2 linked regions of the Elephas maximus indicus genome follow. The protein of the gene in region 2 binds, or shares a complex with, the protein of the main gene of each other region. Links are inferred from orthologs where the notes say so. Each region holds a gene or a part of one and is shown on either strand. Other genes may lie near its edges. The genes, in order: TMEM186 and ACAD9.

Region 1 (10,507 bases), on a different chromosome or scaffold from region 2:
GAGAGCGGTGATTTTAGGTCAGGACTAAATGGACAGGATGATGTGTTTGCTCTGTGTGCCCTCTGCTGGTACCGCGTGAGCAGATCACGCATCCCAGCGGAGGCTCCTTCATGCCAAGGCTGGTGAGAATTGTGGCTCTCACCTAGTGCAGACCCCTCGCAGGCACAAAAGTAGCGATGCTTTAGGGCAGCCCTGCGTACATGTTAGCACCACCTGGGGAACCTTTACTACAGCAACTCTTGGGCCTGGGTGTTTTTAAAACAGCTCTCCAGGTGATTCTGCACAGGACGCCAAGGCTGAGACCCACTTGCTTTTTACTTTTTCTTTTGTATTATTATTGTGGTAAAATATATATAACATAGTCGGCAGTGATGGGCAACGTGAGGAAATGGATAGTGGTGACGGTTGCACAACACGGCAACCATGACTCGCGTCACTAAATGTACACTGAAAAAGGGTTAAAACGGCAAACTTTGTTACACATATTTTTACCACAATAAAAATTTTAAATATAGATTTCTTTTTTTAAATACAATTGAAGAATCCCCACATGCAAGGAGTGTCTCAGTGCCCCCACATACACAGCCCCTCCAGGCAGGAGAACCCCACTGTTGGGGAGTGCACGGACCTGACAGGCAGCAGGTGCCTGGTGCCTCCGAACATCCTAGGACGCCCGTCACACTCCCCAGCCTGCCCACCTTGCTCTTGTTGACAGGAATTAACATCTGATGGGAATTTAATGACTGAAACAAATCAGTAAGGCTGTGCGCTTTCATTTGCATTTCTAAAGTGAATGAAAACGAAAAGGTAGTGCTCCCTTTTCTTAAAAGCTCCCAAACTGTCTTTCCCTGCTGTCTCTCCTTTCTCCGACCTCCTTCGAGAGCTTCCTACAGTGATTAGAATAAAATTCAGCATCCTCTCCTGGTCCATCCTTCCCCTCCCTCCCTCCACTCTCACCAGAGGGGCCTCCTCCTCTTCCCCAGCTTAGAACCTCACACTCCCTTTTCCTTCAGCCTGAAACAAACTGTGTCTGCCTCCTACAACACTCAGGTCTCCGCTGAAATGTCCCTTCCCCAGGGCCTCTTGTGCCCTTTTCCCATCATGCCCCTGCTGCTCATCTCCCTCAGACCATCCTGCTCTTCTTTCACTCTACTTGTCCACATTTGTAATTCCATGTTTGTCTAACGGAGTCCTTGGGTGACACGAATGATTAACGCACTTGGCTGGCTGCTAACTGAAAGGTTGGAGGTTCATGTCCACCCAGAAGTGCCTTGGAAGAAAGGCCTGGCGATCTACTTCTAAAAAACCAGCCATTGAAAACCCTGTGAAGCACAGTTCTATTCTGACACATTGGGTCACCATGAGTCAGCGTTGGAAACTGGTTACTGGTTTATAATTGGCTTTTGTTTATCAATAATGCACCAGCGTATCAGCATCTAGTTCATCAGTCTTTATTACACTATGAAACCTTCAGAATGTGGGAACCTCATACCTCTGGGTGGTGAACAAAATCCCAAGGGGCTGCTGCGTTTGCTTGGATGTCACCCCTGCCATTCAGTGTGCAGTTTACCAGCCTGGCAGAAAGATGTGGCCCCGTCCTAGGCTTCCTGCCAGTCCCTTCTGCTGCTGGACACACAGAGTGGACACAGCACAGGGCTCAGGAAGTCTGTCCGATCACCTGGAAGCCTTTCACAGAGCCCTAACCTCTGACATAATGCTCAACATTTGCTCAGGGCTGTTGAGTCCGGAAAGCACTTTGACACTTGTTTATTCTCCCGCCCAGCTCATGAGACAGGCGGGACTCCCCATTTTACAGAGTGAAAACCAAGGTTCAGATGACCTAAGTCTTCTGACTCCAAATCCGGTGCTCCCCAGCCACACCACTCTGCCTTCTGATTCCACAGCAGTGCACTGCTTGGGTGAACGTGAGACAGCTTCCTCCAAGAACTGGCTCTTACGAGAAGTTTCTGGCCATTATTTGAACATTATCCACAAGTGCAGTGAGAACTTGCACGTAGGGCCTTTTTATTAAACCTGGTTACTAGCTTTTGCCACATGAATTTCTTCATCCCATAAGACAAGTTCCTGGATTGCTGTTGTTATTTGCCATCCAGTCGATTTTGACTCATGGTGACTGCAAGGCCAGCTGATCTGCTTCTGAAAGGTCACAGCCTTGAAAATCCTATGGAGCACAGTTCTACTCTGCACACATGGGGTCACCATAAAGTTCCTAGGAGCCCTGGCAAAGTCTCCAGCTGCCTGTTCCTCTTTGTCAGCCTTCCTGTTAGAGATCCAGGTGGCCCAGGGATACCTGGAAGCCCAGCTTCCAGGAGTTTATCTGGGCATGTCCACTCTCCCAAACACCTGTGTGAATCGTTCTCTGTCCAGGATGCATCCATAGCGCAGACTAAGGTAGAAAGTCTGCTTCCCACTGTACTGCTGGATACGGACGAACACCTCCTGGGGCCGGTCCCTAGTTTCCATGAGGGGGATCACATCAGCCACGGGGCAGCAGGTATCCTGCCGCGAGCCCCAGAAGGTCAGGTGGGCCACCCGCAGCACCGTGCCTGACTCATTCACGTACAAGATGCCCACCAGCCTCCGGAAGAAATGGCTCATCCAGTACAGCATGGCCAGGGCAAAGCCAGCTATCCCACCCATGAGGCACAGGGAGCCAAGACTCATCAGGCCCTGGGTGTACAAATAGAAGCCTGGCGGCAGGGCCACCACCGTCAGGGCCGTCTGTGCCACCTTCAGCCGAGACAGGAATCCGAAGACTCTGATGGCACCAAACCGGTAGACCATCTGGAATTTCTCCGTCTCTGTGTCTGATGGTGTCTCCTTCAAGGTGGGTGGTCTGCTTCCCACCCACCTCCTGGGATCCCGCGCACTGCAGCACAGCCCATGGAGCGGCCTCCCCCAGGCAGCTACCCTCTGCCACTGGGTCACTGCTCTGAGCAGGGCAGCCTGGAAGGGAGACAAGAAACCGTTTCTCTCATGGAACTAAACCATGCTAATCAAACAATAAACATTTGCAAAGCAGGTCCCACGGAGGCTCCCAACAATTCTGGGAGGTCTCTGGTATCACCAGAGATGGAGGGAAAGGTAAAGCCAGACCTTCATGACAACTATGAGATAGTTGCCATTACTTCCACTTTATCACTGAGGAAACTAAGGCCAGAGAGGGTAAGAAATTTGCCCAAGGACACACGGCAAGTGTGAATGGGGCAGTGTCTGACCCTTAAACTGTTCCAAGTAGGTACAGAAAAAACGGACCAGCCTTCATTCATTCAACAAATACCCAGGGTGGGCCAACTCCGGGCTGGGCATTGGATCCACAAGTCTTCGCGAACATTTCCCCAAGCAGGAAAACTAAGCAATCGATGTCCTAGTGGCGAACTAGAAAATAAATCCATGAGACAGCTATCACTATAAATAGGTTAGGTTTGAGTTAGCTTGGGTACTGGAGGGAACTGCTGTTTTCTCTTAGCCTAGTTCAGGGAAGGGGAAACAGCAGAGGAGGGGAAGGGAGGCCCCAACACAAGGCGCAAAGATTTTATTAGGTGCACAGTTCTACAACCTTGTGCAGTGGAAAGAGCTTTGGAGCCAGATCCGGGTTCCAATCCTGGCCCCAATGGTCACTAGCTGTGTATCCTTGGGCAAGTTACTCAACTTCTCTGAGCCTCAGTTTCCTCATCTTTCAAAATGGGGATTCTGGGCCTACTGAATGAGACTATGGTTTTAAAGCCCTCAACACACCGATGCACGGTGAACGCTCAGTGAATTTTAGCTATCCCGTTTTCAGTGGTCCATGTGACTTCAGGACACAGGGAACAGAAAACCGTTCCCCATGCCGGAACTTCCTTCCGCGGACTCTCAGACTGAGACACCCAGGCGCCCTGCATGCCTGCCCTAAGCCCTGACCCCGACCCCGAAAGCACGTCACCTTCCTCAACCCCCACCACACTCCTTCTTACCATAGCCCCGCTAGTCGCTGCCGGAAGTGAATACCGCCTGCCCCCGGAACCTCTAGGAGCGCATGCTCATACTACGGGAAACTCAGGAGTGTGTTGTGTTCTGGGACTTGTGGTTCAGCGCTAGTGGCTGAGGCGAGTTGCAGGCATTGTGAGAGCCTAGTCTCCTCGTCCCGGCGTGCCCTGCGGCGCGGGTGCCGAACCCGGAAGTTCCGGTCGATTTCCGGGTGCCAACGGGTCATGTTTGGTGCGTGCGGGACTGGAGATATGGCGGCTACCGGCCCAGCACTGTGCCTCTTCGATGTGGACGGGACGCTGACGGCCCCGCGGCAGGTAGGCGGTACCCAGCGAACTGGCGGCAGCCGGTGCGGGGCCCCCTGATGGGTCCCGATTGGGCTAAAGATCGCCTCGGGTAGGCGCCAGGGGGCGGCTAAGGACCACCGACGGTCGGTTAATGACTGCCCACTCTTCCTGGGGTGCTGAACTCTATTCTGTGTGCCTGGAGGGATGCGAAGGAAGTCACCCAGCTCTTTAAGACGTCAGGGTGCTCGAAGAGATGAGATGGGACCGAAAAACCCTTGAGGGTAGAGAACTTGCACTGGGTTGGGAAGTCCAGTTCTGGACTTTCATTGCCAACCCTGGGTACCGATGGCCTGGAAACCCTGTGGAGCAGTTCTCCTCTGTCCTGCAGGGCCGCTATGAGTCGAAATCTACTCGACAGCAACGGCTTAGGTTTGGTTTTGGTCTTCAGGCCCCTGACCAACTGTGCACCACCCTCCTCCTGCCACCCATAAGCTGTGCCATGTAGGCTGATCTTAAGAATACAGGTTTCTGGGTTAAACAGACCTACCTGAGCCTCAGCTTCACTTTTTGGCAGCTGTGTGGCCTTGAGCAAGTCACTTAACCTCTCTGAGCCTCAGCATCTGCCCCTTTAAATGGGGACATTACCTCTTACATATGGTGCCTGTGAGGATGTTGATCTTTCTTAACTGAAACCTATTCTTGCCTGTAACAGCAAAATCTGGGAGTGCAAGTTTCCAAGGGCCCTTTTTGGCTCTGAGGTCCAGTGATCATCCGTTTATGGGCTATTAAGAGTACGTAATTGTCTGGAATTGGGGAATTCCTGTTTTTGTAAAGGGCAAGATAGTAAATTTTTGTTTTTGTGGACCATATGATCTGTAGTAACTACTACTCAGCTCTGCAAAAGCAGCCACAGACCATATGTAAATGAATGGGCATGGCCATGTTCTAATAAAACTTCATAAAAACAAACAGCAGTTCCGATTGGTTGGTGGACTATAGTTTGTCTATCCCTGGGTCTAGGGTTTACATTTCCAAGACTTAGACTTTATCATTGGACCCTTTCAACCCTTCCTTCCTCCCTCTTCCACCTCAGGAAGGGTAGTTGTTATTCCCATATTACGTTTAAGGAAACTGAGACCCAGTGAAGCAATGACCTTCTCGGTTTCACAGTAGACCTGGTCAGTCCCTGGGTCTCGGGGTATTGTTATTTGCCACTTTTGCCATTTCCTACCACTGTGCTAAAGTGGAAGGTGTTTCAGTTTCTGAATGTGCTGTTCAGGAAAGTGCTTTGGATTTCCAAAAAGAATTAGAATAACTAAGCATAGTAGTTAAGTGCTATGGCTGCTAGGCTGCTAAACAAAACATCGACAATTCAAATCCACCAGCCGCTCCCTGGAAACTCAATGGGGCAATTCAGCTCTGTCCTAGAGGGTCACTGAATAGGAATCTCAGGATTGAATTGACAGCAATGGGTTTTTTTAAGTATAAAGTACGAAATAGCAAAGAAACCAGGTTAGGTAGCCTACAACGTATTCTCTTAAGACATTTGAAACATGATATTGTTTGCAGTAACCGTAAATTATTTTTACACTCAAATAAATAAACTCTGTAATTTAAAAGAGAATTGTTTCTGTGTTGGGTGCTCTAGGTAAAATTTTTTTCGCAAAAGAGCTATTCATCATACAGTCTTTCTCTTCATCATTACATGCATTTGCAAACTGATAAGTGCAGTAAAATCCAGAAGCAGAAGACTTGCACTGCTGAAACAAGGACCGAGCTAAAAACATAAAAACTAATTAGAATGGACTCCAGGGCTTTGCACACGTCACTTGTTGTTAGGTGCACTCGAGTCGGTTCTGACTCATAGCGACCCTGTACACAACAGAACGAAACACCGCTCAGTCCTGCACCATCCTCACAGTTGTTGCTATGCTTGAGCCAACTGTTGCAGCCACTGTCAATCTCTTTGAGGGTCTTCCTCTTTTTTGCTGACCCTCTACTTTACCAAGTGTGATGTCCTTCTCCAGGGACTGATCCCTCCTGATAACATGTCCAAAGTATGTGAGACAAAGTCTTGTCATCCTTGCTTCTACTGAGCATTCTTGTTGTACTTCTTCCAAGACAGATTTGTTTGTTCTTTTGGCCATCCATAGTATGTTCAACATTCTTCCCCAACACCATAATTCAAAGACGTCAAATCTCCTTCAGTCTTCCTTATTCATTGTACAGCTTTCGCATGCGTATGATGCGATTGAAAACACCATGGCTTGGGTCAGGCACGCCTTGTTCTTCAAGGTGACATCTTTGCTTTTCAACACTTTAAAGAGGTCTTAATGTGTCTTGATTTCTGGACTTCTGCTTCCATGGGTGTTGATTGTCGATCCAAGTAAAATGAAATGCTTGACAACCTCAATTTTTTCTCCATTTATCACGATGTTGTTTATTGGTCCAGTTGTGAGGGTTTTTGTTTTCTTTATGTTGAGGTGTAATCTGTACTGAAGGCTGTGGTCTTTGATCTTCATCAATAAGTGCTTCACGTCCTCTTCACTTTCAGCAAGCAAGGTTGTGTCATCTGCATAACGCAGGTTGTTAATGAGTCTTCCTCCAATCCTGATGCCCCGTTCTTCTTCATATAGCCCAGCTTCTCAAATTATTTGCTCAACATACAGATTGAATGGGCCTGATGAAAGAATACAACCCTGATGCACACCTTTCTGGATTTTAAACCATGCAATATCCCCTTGTTCTGTTTGAACAACTGTCTCTTGCTCCATGTACAGATTCCTCATGAGCACAATTAAGTGTTCCGGAATTCCCATACTTTGCAATGTTATCCATAATTTATTATGATCCACACAGTCGAGTGTCTTAGCATAATCAATAAAACACAGGTAGACATCTTTTTGGTATTCTCTGCTTTCAGCCAGGATCCATCTGGCATCAGCAGTGATATCCCTGGTTCCACATCCTCTTCTAAAGACGACTTGAGTTTCTGACAGTGCTTGTCGATATACTGCTGCAGCCGCTTTTGAATGATCTTTAGCAAAATTTTGCTTGCATGTGATAATGATGTTTTTTGGTAATTTCTACATTTCAGTTGGGTCGCCTTTCTTGGGAATAGACATATATATGGATCTCTTCCAGTCAGTTGCCCAGGTAGGTCTTCCAAATTTCTTGGCATAGATAAGTACGTGCTTCCAGCGCTGCATCCATCTCTTGAAACATCTCAGTTGGTATTCTGTCAATTCTCAGAGCCTTGTTTTTTGCCAGTGCCTTCAGTGGAGCTTGGAATTCTTCCTTCAGTACCATTAGTTCCTGATCATATGTTACCTCCTGAAATGGTTGAACGTCGACCAATTCTTTTTGGTATAGTGACTCTGTGTATTCCTTCCATCTTCTTTGAATGCTTCCTGCGTCGTTTAATATTTTCCCTGTAGAATCTTTCAGTATTGTTACTCAAGGCTTGAATTTTTTCTTCAGTTCTTTCAGCTTGGGAAATGCTGAGCATGTTCTTCCCTTTTGGTTTTCTATGTCCAGGTCTCTGCACATGTCATCATAATACTTTGTCTTTTCAAGCCACCCTTTGAAATCTGCTCAGCTCTTTTACTTCATCATTTTTTCCTTTTGACATCCATTTTGGTCTTTTCTTTCTTTCCTGTCTGTTTAGTGATATCTTGCTTTCTTCACGTATGATATCCTTGATGTCATTCCACAACTCATCTGGTCTTCAGTCATTAGTGTTCAATGCATCAAAACTGTTCTTGAGATGGTCTCTAAATGCAGGGGGGATATACTCAAGGTCGTACTTTGGCTCTCGTGGACTTGGTCTAATTTTCTTTAGTTTCAGCTTGAACTTGCATATGAGCAATTGATGGTCTGATCCGCAGTTGATTCCTGGCCTTGCTCTGACTGATGATATTGAGCTTTTCCATTGTCTTTTTCCACAGATGTAGTTGATTTGATTCCTGTGTATTCCATCTGGCGACGTCCGTGTTATATAGTCACTGTTTATGTTGGTGAAAAAAAGTATTTGCAATGAAGAAGTTGTTGGTCTTGCAAAATTCTATCATGCTATCTCCAGCATCCTTTCTATCACCAAGGCCGTACCGACCCTTCTTTGTTTCCAACTTTTGCATTCCAATCACCAGTAATTATCAGTGCATCCTGATTGCATGTTCTATCAATTTCAGACTGCAGAAGTTGATAAAAATCTTCTTTGGCCTTAGGGGTTGGAGTGTAAATTTGAATAATAGCCCTATTAACTGGTCTTCCTTGTAGGCGTATGGATGTTATCCTATCACTTACAGCGCTATACTTCAGGATAGATCTTGAAATGTTCTTTTTGACGATGAATGCAACACCATTCCTCTCCAAGTTGGTAGTCTCGGCATAGTAGACCATATGATTGTCTGATTCAAAATGACCAGTACCAGTCCATTTCAGCTCACTAATGCCTAGAATATTGATCTTTATGCGTTCCATTTCATTTTTGACGATTTCTAATTTTCCTAGATTCATACTTCATACATTCCAGGTTCTAGTTTTTAATGGATGTTTGCAACTGTTTCTTCTCTTCAGCAAATGAAGGCCCCAAAAGCTTGACTCCATCCACTTCATTAAGGTCAACTCTATTTTGAGGAGGCAGCTCTTCCCTAGTTGTATTTTCAGCACCTTCCAACCTGAGGGCCTCATCCTCCGGCAGTATATCAGACTATCACATGTCAGCATCACAGCAACACACAAGCCCCCACAGTACAACAAACTGACAAATGTGTGGGGGTACATGTCACTATTTTAGTAGAATTTTGTTGTGCTGTGTACTTTGCTAAAAAATGCTGTTCCATATAAAGACAGTTGGTACTTACAACGATAGTCTGCAAAAAGTAGGGAGACATAAACCTAAGTGAAGTGTTTTTCCAACTTCCCATTATGAAAAATTTCAAATGTACATAATCATTGAAAGAGTAGCACACAGAACACCCATAGCTCCGCCACTTAGATTCAACAGTGGTTGACATTTTGTTATATTAACTTTGTCTCTCTCTTTTTTTTGTCTTTTGCTGAGCCCTGGTGGTGCAGTGGTTAAGAGCTCAGCTGCTAATCAAAAGGTTGGCAGTTCAAATCCACCCGCTGCTCCTTGGAAACCATATGGGGTGGTTCTGCTCTGTCCTGTAAGGTGGCTATGAGTCAGAATCGACTTGACAGCAGCGAGTTTGGTTTAGTTTTGGTTTGCTGAGCCACTTTCTAAGCTGCTGTCATCATGGAACTTCGCCCCTAAATCCTTTAGCATGTACCTCTTCAGAACAAGGACATCCTCGTTCATAACCACAGTATCATCATCACACCTAAGAAAATTATCACCAACTCCGTAATGTTATACCCTAGCCCAGGGTTCAGCAAACTTTTTCTGTAAAAGGCCAGATGGTAAACGATCACCAACCTTCTAATAGTATTTAATACCGAGCCCAAGGCGCAGCAAACTTTTTTTCTGTAAAAGGCCAGATAGTAAATATTTGAGACCATAGGCCATATAGCCTCTGTCACAACTACTCATTCCAGTGTTGACTGCATTCCAGAAATACTTATTTACAGAAACAAGCAGCAGGCCACGTTTGGCCTGCAGACCCTAGTTCATAGACGCCTACCTCTAGTCAGTAGTCACATTTCCTCAATTATCCCCCGACCAAAAAAAAAAAGCCAAACCCGTTGCCACCGAAGTCAATTCTGACTCATAGTAACCCTATAGGACAAAGGAGAACTGTCCCATAGGGTTTCCAAGGCTGTAATCTTTATGGAAGCAGACTGCCACACCTTTCACCTGTGGAGCAGTTGGTGGGTTTGAACTGCTGACCTTTAGGTTAGTAGCCCAGTGCTTTAACCACTGCACCACCAGGGTTCATGTTATCCCCCAAAAGTCCTTTAATATTGAGTTCTTTTAGAAGGTGAATTTTCTAACTATTCCACCTTAACTTCAAGTTTCTGGTTCTTTCTTTGTGTTTTATTTTGGCCGGGGTGATTTCTAAAGGATTCTGTGTGAATATCAGCACAAAGTTAATTTGGGAACATCAAAACAATTTTACTGTGCAGTTATTTCACTCTAAAGGTCTCCAGTGGGGGTCATGTAGATGCTCTGTCGTGGTCGCGGCAGCTGGGTCTTATCTACTGTCAAAATGTATTTGCTGCCACTTGGAAGAGAAAAGATGCCCTCTGCAATCCTGCTACATCACAGA
Region 2 (10,888 bases):
AGCCTGAGAGTGGCCATCTAAGATACATCTACTGGTCCCATCCCGGTTTGAGCAAAGACACAAGGGAAAGATTAGTCCAAAGGACTAATGGACCACAACTACCACAACTACCAACAGACTGAATACAGAACAACTAGATGGTGCCAGTTACCACCACTGACTGCTCTGGCAGGGATCACAACAGAGAGTCCTAGAGAGAGCAGGAGAAAAATATAGAACAGAAATCAAATTCACAAAATTTTTTTTAAAAAAGACCCAGCCTGCTAGTCTGACTGAGACTGGAGAAACCCCAAGAGCTTGGCGCCCAGACACCCTTTTAATTCAGTACTAAAGTCACTCCTGAGGTTCACCCTTCAGCCAAAGATTAGACAGGTCTATAGGGCCAATAATAACACACATGAGGGACGCGCTTCATAATTCAATCACGTATATGAGGCTAATGGGCACACAAGCCCAAAAGCAAAGACAAGAAGGCAGGAAGGGACAGGAAAACTGTACAAATGGAAACAGGGAACCTGGGATGGAAAAGGGGAAAGTGTTGACACATCACGGGGTTAGCAACCAATGTCACGAAACAATTTGTGTACTAACTGTTTAATGAGAAATTAATTTGCTATGTAAACTCTACCTAAATCATTAAAAAAAAAAAAAAAAAAAAAAAAACCAGTACACTAAAAAACAAGGCTCCAGGAACTGACAGAATGCCAATTGAGATGATTCAACGAATGGATGCAGTGCTGGAAGTGCTCACTCGACTCTGCCAAGAAATCTGGAAGACAGCTACCTGGCTGGAAAGAGATCCATATTTGTGCCCATTCCAAAGAAAGATGATCCAACAGAATGCGGAAACTATTGAACAACATCATTAATATTACACACAAGTAAAATCTTGCTGAAGGTCATTCAAAAGCAGTTGCAGCAATACATCCTCAAGGAACTCCCAAAAATTCACACTGGATTCAGAAGAGGACGTGGAACGAAGGATATCATTGCTGATGACAGATGCTCCTTGCTGAAAGCAGAGAAACCAGAGAGATGTTTACCTGTGTTCTACTGACTATGCAAAGGCATTTGACTGTGTGGATCATAACAAATTATGGATAACATTGCGAAGAATGGGAATTCCAGAACACTTCATTGTGCTCATGAGAAACCTATACATTGACCAAGAGCCAGTCATTCGAACAGAACAAGGGGGTACTGCATGGTTTAAAGTTAGGAAGGGTACGTGTTAGGGTTGTATCTTTTCACCATACCTATTCAATCTGTCTGCTGAGCAAAAAATCTGAGAAGCTGGACTGTATGAAGAAGAATGTGGTATCAGGATTGGAGGAAGACTCACTAACAACCTGCAATATGCACACAACACATCCCTGCTTGCTGAAGATGAAGAGGATTTGAAGCACTTACTGATGAAGATCAAAGACCACAGCCTTCAGTACGGATTACATCTCAACATAAAGAAAACAAAACTCCTCACAACCTGGACCAATAAGCAATATCATGATAAAAGGAGAAAATATTGAAGTTGTAAAGAATTTCATTTTACTTGGATCCACAATCAACACCCACAGAAGCAGCAGTCAAGAAATCAAACAACGCATCGCACTGAGAAAATCTGCTGCAAAAGATCTCTTTAAAGTGTTAAAAAGCAAAGATGTCAGTTTAAGGACTGAGGTGTGCCTGACTCAAGCCATGATGTTTTCAGTCGCCTCATATGCATGTGAAAGCTGGACAATGAATAAGGAAGACTATAAAAGAATTGATGTTTTTGAATTACGGTGTCAGCGAAGAAAACTGAATATGCCACGAACTGCCAAAAGAATGAACAAATCTGTTTTGGAAGAAGTACAGCCAGAATGCTCCTCAAAAGCAAGGATGGTAGGAGTTCATCTCACATCCTTTAGACATGTTACCAGGAGAGACAAGTCCCTGGAGAATGACATCATGTTTGATAAAGCAGAGGGACAGTGAAAAAGAGGAAGACTTTCAATGAGACGGACTGACACAGTGGCTGCAATAATGGGCGTAAGCACAAGAGTGGTTGTGAGGATGGTGCAGGACCAGGCAGCATTTTGTTCCATTGTTGGAGGTGGAATCAACTCGATGGCAACTAACAACAAAACGGGTGGAAAAGGTCTATCAAAGAGGGGGGAGTGATGAAATGTGTCAGATGCCACTGATGGGTCAAGTCAGATGAAAACCAGGAACAGACCACAAGATCTGGCAATGTGGAGGTCACTGCTGTTCTTCCCGAGAGCAGCTTTAGTATACCATAGATAGTTCAGGACAAATGCCCGAACGGCATGGGCTCAAGATCCGGTGGAGAGGGAAAAACTGATGATGCATGTCTTAGCTTCCCAGTACTGCTGTGGCAGAAATACCACAAGTGGGCAGCTTTAACAACCAAAAAAATCCATTGACATCAAGTCAATTCCGACTCATAGCGACCTTACAGGACAGAGCAGAACTGCCCTGTAGCATTTTCCAAGGAGCGTCTGGTGGATTGAAACTGCTCGCCTTTTGTTTAGCAGCCAAGCTCTGAACTACTGCACCACTAGGGCTCCAGAGCAGCTTTAAAAAACAGAAATCTATTTTCTCACAGTTCTGGAGGTTAAAGTCCAAATCAGGATCTCAGCCATGTCAATTCCTTCCCTGTCAGTACCCCTAGGTGTTCTCTGATGATCCCCCCCATGGCATCTGTCCCATGCTGTCCCCCCCCCCCCCGTGTGTGCATGTGTGTCTCATCTGCTTTTTTTATAACTCAGAAGTGATTAGGTTTAGGACACAGCCTACAGTGGTATGGCCTCATTAACACAACAAAGAAAGTCCTATTGCCAAACAGGATTACATCCATAGGTATAGCGGTTAGGATTTCAACACATATTTTGGCAAGGACAAAATTCAATCCACAACAATGCAGATGAGAAAGGAGAGAATTTCTGGATCAATGTCCTTGAGTAGGTGAGAAGGCATAGCATCTAGAGATGAGTTGGCCTTTGCTAGTAGCCATCCAAAGTGATAGAATGTAGAAGATGTGGACACACATGATGGGAGGAGAGGGCAAATGTGGTGATGGAAGTTCTCATCTGACTACATGTATTTTCTCAGTGAGACGGGCAGCAAAGCTGAGAGTGAGGATGCGGGAGGTGGTGGCAGAGGTTTGAAGAAAGAAACATGACAGATGTGTGTTCTCTCCTCACCATGCTTCTGGGAGGCATGAGGTCCCAGGACAGAGCACCACATACTCCCAAGTTTTGGGGAAAATGGTTTTCCAAATTTTAAAGACCTAGCTTTGCATTTCCTAGAGGGGCAAACCACTCTCAGTCTGAGTCTCAGCTCCTGCAACTGCAATGTCTGTATAAAGGTCTGACAAACTTAGAGGACTGTTCTAATGACAAACCAGGAACTAAGTGATACAGTACCAGCCAACATTTGGACCAAGTCTTGCTCAAAGCACTTCATACAAATTTTTTTTTTTTTTTGGTTTGCAAGGCACCTTTAGTAGGAGATGAGTACTGTTTTTACTCCATTTCGTAGATAAGCACACTGAGGCACAGCGGCGTTAAGTGACAAAACTAGTAAGTACTGAAGCCAGCGTTACTTACTCTGCTGCCTCTTGTATCTGCAGCGTATCTTAAAAACATTAAAAAAAATAAACAGAGTATCTTACAGTTTAAAAATCACTTTCATGCACCATATATTTCATTGGGGCGTTACAGCACATCTGTGACGTAGAGACAACACTAGTTCCATTTCAAGGTTGAAAGAACGAAGGCTAAAGTTACAAAAAACAGTCAAGGCCAAATCCAAGTCTTCCAACTATAAAAGGAGAGTTACAAGCCCTGGTGGCGCTGTGGTTAAAGCGCTGGACTGCTAGTGGAACTCGGGAATCCGGAGTTTTAAAACACCCCACACCGAGGTGATTCTTGTCAGGCAGGTTTGGGGGCTCTGACACGTCGACCCCAGTCTTCCTGCTAAGGGCGAAAAGCGGGGGCCCGAGAGCAAGGGTGGGCGTTACCTTCTCGATTGTGCCTAGGAAGAGCTCCTTGGCGAAACCTCGGCTCGGTGGGCTGGTGCGCAGCGAGCGTCGGCTCGCCGTGAAGGCCGCCAGAGCCCGGCAGGCACGCGCCGTCGCCGTCGCCGTCGTCGCCGCCGCGCGCAGGAAGAGTCCGCCGCCGCTCATGCTGCCTGAAGTCGCTCAGACTACCAGTGTCACCTCTTCCTCAGTGCTTCAGGCTGAAGTGCGCGGGATCGCGCCGCCTGATGACGCCACTGGCCTGCTAGGCGCCGCCGGTCGCCAGTGCGCATGCGCCGCGTTGGGCCGCAGGGGAGGGCAGGGCGAGTGGGCTGGGGATCACCTCAATGGGCGGCTTCTCACGTTAGTTGCTGGGGGCCCCCGGGAAGGTTTTGTTTTCAAACGCGAGCGGTTGTTTGCGTAACCCTCAGCCCTGAGAGTCTTCCAGGTGCTTAAGAAGCGGCCCAACTGCCTCCACTTGCCTCTCTTCCTGAGGCAGGGGCAAGCAGTACAAGGTAAAACTAAAGCAAAAAAAAAAAAAAAAATCCGTTGCCGTGGAGTCAATTCCAACTCCTAGCGACCCTAAAGCAAAAAAAAAAAAAAAAAAAGCAAAGGAGTGGGGGAAAAAAGACACGAAATTGGTTATCACCGGAGGGGCGCTCACAGTGCAGATAATATTGCATTTTTTAAGTAGGTGATAGATACATGGGGGTTCATTTTGTTTTGCTTCTCTCCTCGCGTGACAATGACTACTCTGCTTAAAACGGAAGTAAAGAGATTTATTGAAAAAGACCAGACTTACTGGTCTGACAGCCTGGAGAAACCCCGAGAGTATGGACCCCCGGACACTCCTTTAACTTAGTACCAAAGTAACTCCTGAGGTTCACTCTTCAGCCAAAGATTAGACAAGCCTATAAAACAGTAACACACCCGTAGCTGAACCTGTATAGGAGACTAAGTGGGCACACCAGCCCAGGGGCAAGGATGAGAAGGCACGAGGGGACAGGGAAGCTGGGCAAATGAAAATGGGAAACCTAAGGTCCACGTTGTGTAAAAACACAGCGGCACCCGAACCCAAGGTGGGCGGCATCTCCAAGAGACCAGATAAAAACTCTGGAACCAGCGATCATGACATACTGTTTATTCCCGAAGGTTACTTACAGACCGTGGCCCAGGGCGGTGCCTGGACCAGTTCAGCGCTTTGCAACCACCTAGCAGGAGGCACAAGCTTACGTACCGTTCCAGCTGGGACAAAGGCTCGTTGTTTTCTCCCACGTTCTTGGGCATTACTGTTCCCAGGAACTTCACTTCCAGGCCCAGCTGTTCTCCTTCTTGTTGCTAAGGCGTTCTTTGGCCTTGGCCACTGGCCCAGTCACACCATCCCCAGCCTTGTACGGTAGCCTGAGTCCATCCCGAATTCATCCCCAGCATGCTTTGGGGAAGAGCAAAAGAGACTCCATTAGGAGGGGATGCGTATAGCTGAAAAGCATGGCAGTCCAGAAGGGAAGAGTGTTGACGTGTTGCAGGGTTAGCAACCAATGTCACAACAAAACAATATGTGTATTAATTGTTCAACAAGAAACTAATTTGCTCTGTAAACTTTCACCTTAAAATCACCAACCCACTAAGCACAATAAAAAAAAATTAAAAATATATTTAAGAAAAAAAGATTTATTGATAGCAAAGGAGCTGGGGACACATTTGATCTCACAAAGTAAAAACCAGCTCTCCAAAAAGCTGCAGTCACATGGGCATAGTTATAGGGTTGAATCAGGAACTTAGTTTATAATATTCTAATTATGAGGCATGCAATTAGTGAAGTTTAAAGAAAACAACAACGAACATCTCGCTGTCCAGTGATTCTGACTCTTAAGTAGGAGGCAGGAAACCACCAAGCAGGAGGGGGTAGGGCTTTGGTTGGGATTGGTTAACAGAGTTTATGTGAGTTAAGGGGATTGGGTATACTCACATAACTGCGAAAACAAGAGGATTGATAGGCCAGGGTCTACTGGTTCCACCCAGCCAGAAGCCCAAGATTATTTGCATACGAATGGGAAGACACCAAGCTTACATTCTCAGGAATGCAGAAGCAGATGCTTGTAACAAAATGGAGTTTTAATTCAGACTTCATGTCAGTCATTCTATTATGCCAGGTGCTTCAGCTTTAAAGGTTTGCTAGCACACTTTATAATTGCATGCTTGCCTACTCCAAGTCCAAGATCTAATTTTCAGAATCATATAAATCAAACATGGGTGAGACTTTAGGCATATTCTATCCTGGGGCAGAAGTCTTCTTCATCTGTGATCCTGTGAAATCTAAACCAGAAGTTACGTATTTCTAAAGTACAACGGTGGGACAGACACCAGATAGACATTTCCATTACAAATGGGAGAAATTGGAGGGAAAGAAGGGATAATAGGCACCAAGCAAATCCCAAACCTAGAAAAAATTTACATTAGCCCTCAAGGCTTGAAAATAACCATCTATTCTTTGAGACCATGAGGCAATGGTCCCGCCCTCCAGACTCTGGGTGTTGGCCATGCCCTCTGGATTCTGGGTGGTGGCCTTTCACCCTGGGCTTTGACTCCACCTTCCAGGCCCACTGAAACGGCAACTCTACTCACTCGCATTTGGGTAGTCTTATTCCCCTAGTCCTAGTCTGCGTGGCAACCCCACTCCCTCGGCTCCAGCAGGCCCCATTCTTCTGTCCCCTCGGCATGGCAGACCTGCCTCCTCAGCTTTGGGTTGTGGCCCCATTCCTCTGGCACACCTTACTGTCAGCCCCACACTCCAGAACCCAGCTGGCAAAGATCCAACTCTGAAACCTAGGAGGCTGTGGCCCCACCCTATGAAACTGAGAAGGACCTGCTTCCCATACTCCTTTTAACAGTTCTGGTGATCTCCAAGCTGCTCCAGGCATGGTCCTTTTCTTTTCTTGGAGGACAACAGATGTAGCTCCTTTGGCCTATTTCCTGCCTGTAGAATTCTAAGAGGTAGACAGCCTTCTTTCCTTTCATTCTTTCTCTGTACCCCTCAGTCTAAGCTGATGAGTTTCCTGCTGTGGTAGTTGGTTAGATCCATCAGTCACAGGCCTTAATCTCTTTAACAAAAGATGTGTAGCCACGTCCTTGGTGAACATTCTAGGACATGTGCCCTTAATTTGTACAACAGAATTTTCCAAATCTTTAAGTTTTGTTTTCATTTTGTACAGTTCATTTTTAAGTCTATGTCTTTCCTATCTCACTTTACTATAAGCAGCAAGGAGAAACCACACAGCCCCTTTAAGATCTTGCTTAGAAATCTCCTCAGCCAGATATCCAAGTTCATCAAGTTCTACCTTCCACTAAACATTTGAACATAATTCAGACAAGTTCTTTTCCACTTTATAAAAAGCATCACCCTTCCTCCATTGTCCGATCACATGTCCGTAATTTCCTTTTAAAGCCTCATCAGAAGCACATTTAATGTCCACATTTATAGCAACATTCTGTTGCTGGCGCCATATGTATTCTCTAAGACCATAGAGACTTTCTCTATGGCTCTCCTCACCTCCTTCTGAGCCATCTCCAGAGTTGCCTTTGACATGCATAATTCTACCAACATGCTCTTCAAGGCAACCTAGGCTTTTACTACTAAAAAAAAAAAACCTGTGGCCGTCACGTCAATTCTGACTCATAGTGACCATATAGGACAGAGTAGAATGCCCCGTAGGGTTTCCAAGGAGCAGCTGGTAGATTTGAACTGCCAACATTTGGGTTAGCAGCTGAGCTCTTAACCATTGCACCACCAGGGCTCCACTTTTACTGTTACCAAAAAACCAAACCCACTGCCGTCGAGTTGATTCCGACTCATAGCAGCCCTATAGGACAGAGTAGAACTGCCCCATAGAGTTTTCGAGGAGTGCCTGGCAGATTTGAACTGCCGACCTCTTGGTTAGCAGCTGTAGCACTTAACCACTACGCCACCAGGGTTTCCACTTTTACCGTTAGTCACCTTAAAATGCTTCCAACATCTACCCATTACCCAATTCCAAAACCACTTCCACATTTTAGGTATCTGTTAGAGCAGCACCCCACTCTTTTGGTACCAAATTCTGTCTTTGTTATCTCATGCTGCTATAATAGAAATACCACAAGTGGGTGGCTTTAACAAAAGGAAATTTATTTTCTCACAGTTAAGGAGGCTAGAAGTCCAAATTCAGGGTGCTGGCTCTAGGGGAAGGTTTTCTCTCTCTGTTAGCGCTGGAGGAAAGTTCTTGTCTCTTCAGCTCTGTTTCCTGGTTCCTTGGAGATCTCCATGTGGCTTGGCATCAGTCTTCCTCATCTCTACTTCTTTCACTTGCTTGTTTAATCTTTTTTATATCTAAAAAGAGATTGACTCAAGATACACCCTATACTAATCCTATCTCATTAGCATAACAAAGACAACCCATTCTCAAATGAGATTATAACTACAGGCATAAGGCTACGATTTGCAACACATACTTTTGAGGGACACAATTCAATCCACAACTGACACCTTTGAATTGTGGTGCTGGCGAAGAATATTGAATATACTGTGGACTGCCGAAAGAATGAACAAATCTGTCTTAGAAGTACAACCAGAATGCTCCTTAGAAGCAAGGATGGTGAGACTGCATTTTACATACTTGGAACATGTTGTCAGGAGAGATCAGTCCCTGGAGAAGATATCATGCTTGGCAGAGTACAGGGTCAGCAGAAAAGAGGAAGACCCTCAGTGAGGTGGATTGACACAGTGGCTGCAACAATGATCTCAAGCATAATGATTGTAAGGCAGTGTTTCGTTCTGTTGTGCACAGGGTTGCCATGAGTCAGAAAAGACTTGACGGCACCGAACAACAACAACAATTCAATCCGTAATCTCAAGCATGTGAACAATGAGTTTAGTCAAGCTTCCTGTCTCAATATCCTAATAAAAGGCACATAAATGGTGCAAAGTTTATTGCTATTTTATTTTCTGCTAAGAAGTTGGTAATACCTTAATGTCTAGAGACCAAATACCTATATGTAGAAAGGTGTCCCTCAAGAGAATACCTGTGTCTCATACTCTAAATTTATACTATCTATGTAAAAATGGCATGGTATAGGCATCTGACCTCCTCTAACTTCACAAGCGGGAAAGAGTATCAAGATCAGCAGCCCAAGATTGATTCCTGTGAGGTGGAGGTCAGACATACCTCCTCTCACCAGTCCTTTTTACCAAATCTGACATCATCTGTCCCTCCCATGGTGTACTCTATTTCTCTGCTGAATTTGATAAATTGTTATAACGGCTACACGGAACTCACAGACAATACACATGATTATGAAGTTTATTAGAGAAGTAACATGTTACAGTTCAGGTTCAGAGATGCTCAGGATATAGTTCTTTGATCAGGACAGCCTCTCCTCAGCCATGCCCTCCATCAGGTCTCTCCCTGGCCTCCTGGCCACTGCCCTGCTCAGACAAGTGTTACAAAGATCTTTAGCTCTGCTGATAAGTGCCTAGAGGCACCCCACTCCACCAGTAAGCCCCTGCCCTAAGGTGCTCAGCTCTAGCTTCATAAATCAGCAAACCTAGCTCCCCCAAATGCCCAGAGGCACCCTACTCCACCAGTAAGCCTCCTGCCCTAAGGTACTCAGCTTTCTCACTCCCCGGGCTGGGAAGTCCACTGTGCCGTCTCCTGCCGTCTCCTGCTAGTCTCTTGCAGTTTCCTTTCAGTCTCCTGGTTCTGCTGCCACTGTTTCTCTGTCACTGCTTCTCGCCATCGCCAGTGTCACAGCTCTTTCTCTCTGTCTTCCACATTACATGTTATAGCTCCTGCTCTCTCTCTCTCACAGTGTCTTGGTTCCAGGAGCTTCTCAGCACAGGGATCTTGAGTCCAAAGGATGCACTCCACTCTTGGCGGCGGTGAGATCCCCTCCTCCCACCTCTGGGGTGGCTCATTTTAAGCGTAGCAGGATGGCAAAATTGACCAATTCCTTCATTAGGTTTCCATAGACCTTATTTGCATAGTCCTACTCGATCACAGTGAGTAAGTCACAAAGGCTATGGCTAGAAGGGCCATATTAAGCAATTCATTGCACTGCAGTCCACTACTACTTCCTACCCATTCGATGTATATTAGTTCCCACTTGAGGTACATTAGTTATTAGGGAAACATGATGTCATTGGCACACAATGTTCTAGCACTCAGATAGGGCCTACTAGTGACCACAGGACTTTGGGTTATGTCCTAGAACCCATACATCTAGTGCTTCTGTTATGGTGTGGAATCAATAGACTCCTAAATGATAGGCCCCTGACACAGTTAAACATTTTAAGAAAGCCCTTTTCAAAGAGGGATAAGTACATAGATAACTAACTACATAACTGACTTTGGCTATAAAAATCAGCACAAAGCTGGTTCCCATGAGGCAGAGGTTGAACATATCTTCATTTTCTGACTTTCTCCATTATTTCTAACACCAGCTGTCATAGTTAATGTCATGTGTCAACTTGGCTTGGCAATGATTCTCAGTATTTTCCTCCATTTTGTGGTCTGATGTTAAGGGGAATTTCCCTGGGGGTGTGGTCTAATGTCAAGGGGAATTTCCTTGGGCGTGTGGTCTGCATCCAATATATACGAACATTCTGGCTAAGCTCTCACTCCCTCTTGATCCTGCATCTGACTCATCATAACCTGGCCTCCAGTTCTTGGGATGTGAGCCAGCACCCTGTCATCTGACCTGTCAATTTTGGGTTCGTCAGCCCCTGCAACCACGTAAATCAGAAGAAGCCTTCAGCCAGATGCCAGACCCATAGATTTAAGACTTGCCAGCCTCCACAACTGGGAGCCATTTCCTTGAAATAAATCTACGTATATATTT

Evidence for each region.
Region 1: ACAD9 (region 2) and TMEM186 share a complex: the UniProt entries of both Homo sapiens proteins name them as parts of the mitochondrial complex. The link is inferred for Elephas maximus indicus from reciprocal best matches to the Homo sapiens genes ACAD9 and TMEM186.

Annotation. Positions count from the first base shown.
Region 1 is NC_064830.1:66,918,591-66,929,097, forward strand, and holds the start of TMEM186 (transmembrane protein 186), read right to left. Parts: upstream 4,002-10,507; 5' UTR 3,981-4,001; coding exon 3,978-3,980; intron 2,968-3,977; coding exon 2,335-2,967; 3' UTR 1-2,334. Other genes in the region: PMM2 (phosphomannomutase 2), read left to right, coding at 4,215-4,307. UniProt on the Homo sapiens protein: As part of the MCIA complex, required for efficient assembly of the mitochondrial complex I.
Region 2 is NC_064838.1:41,142,478-41,153,365, reverse strand, and holds the start of ACAD9 (complex I assembly factor ACAD9, mitochondrial), read right to left. Parts: upstream 4,290-10,888; 5' UTR 4,187-4,289; coding exon 4,022-4,186; intron 1-4,021. UniProt on the Homo sapiens protein: As part of the MCIA complex, primarily participates in the assembly of the mitochondrial complex I and therefore plays a role in oxidative phosphorylation.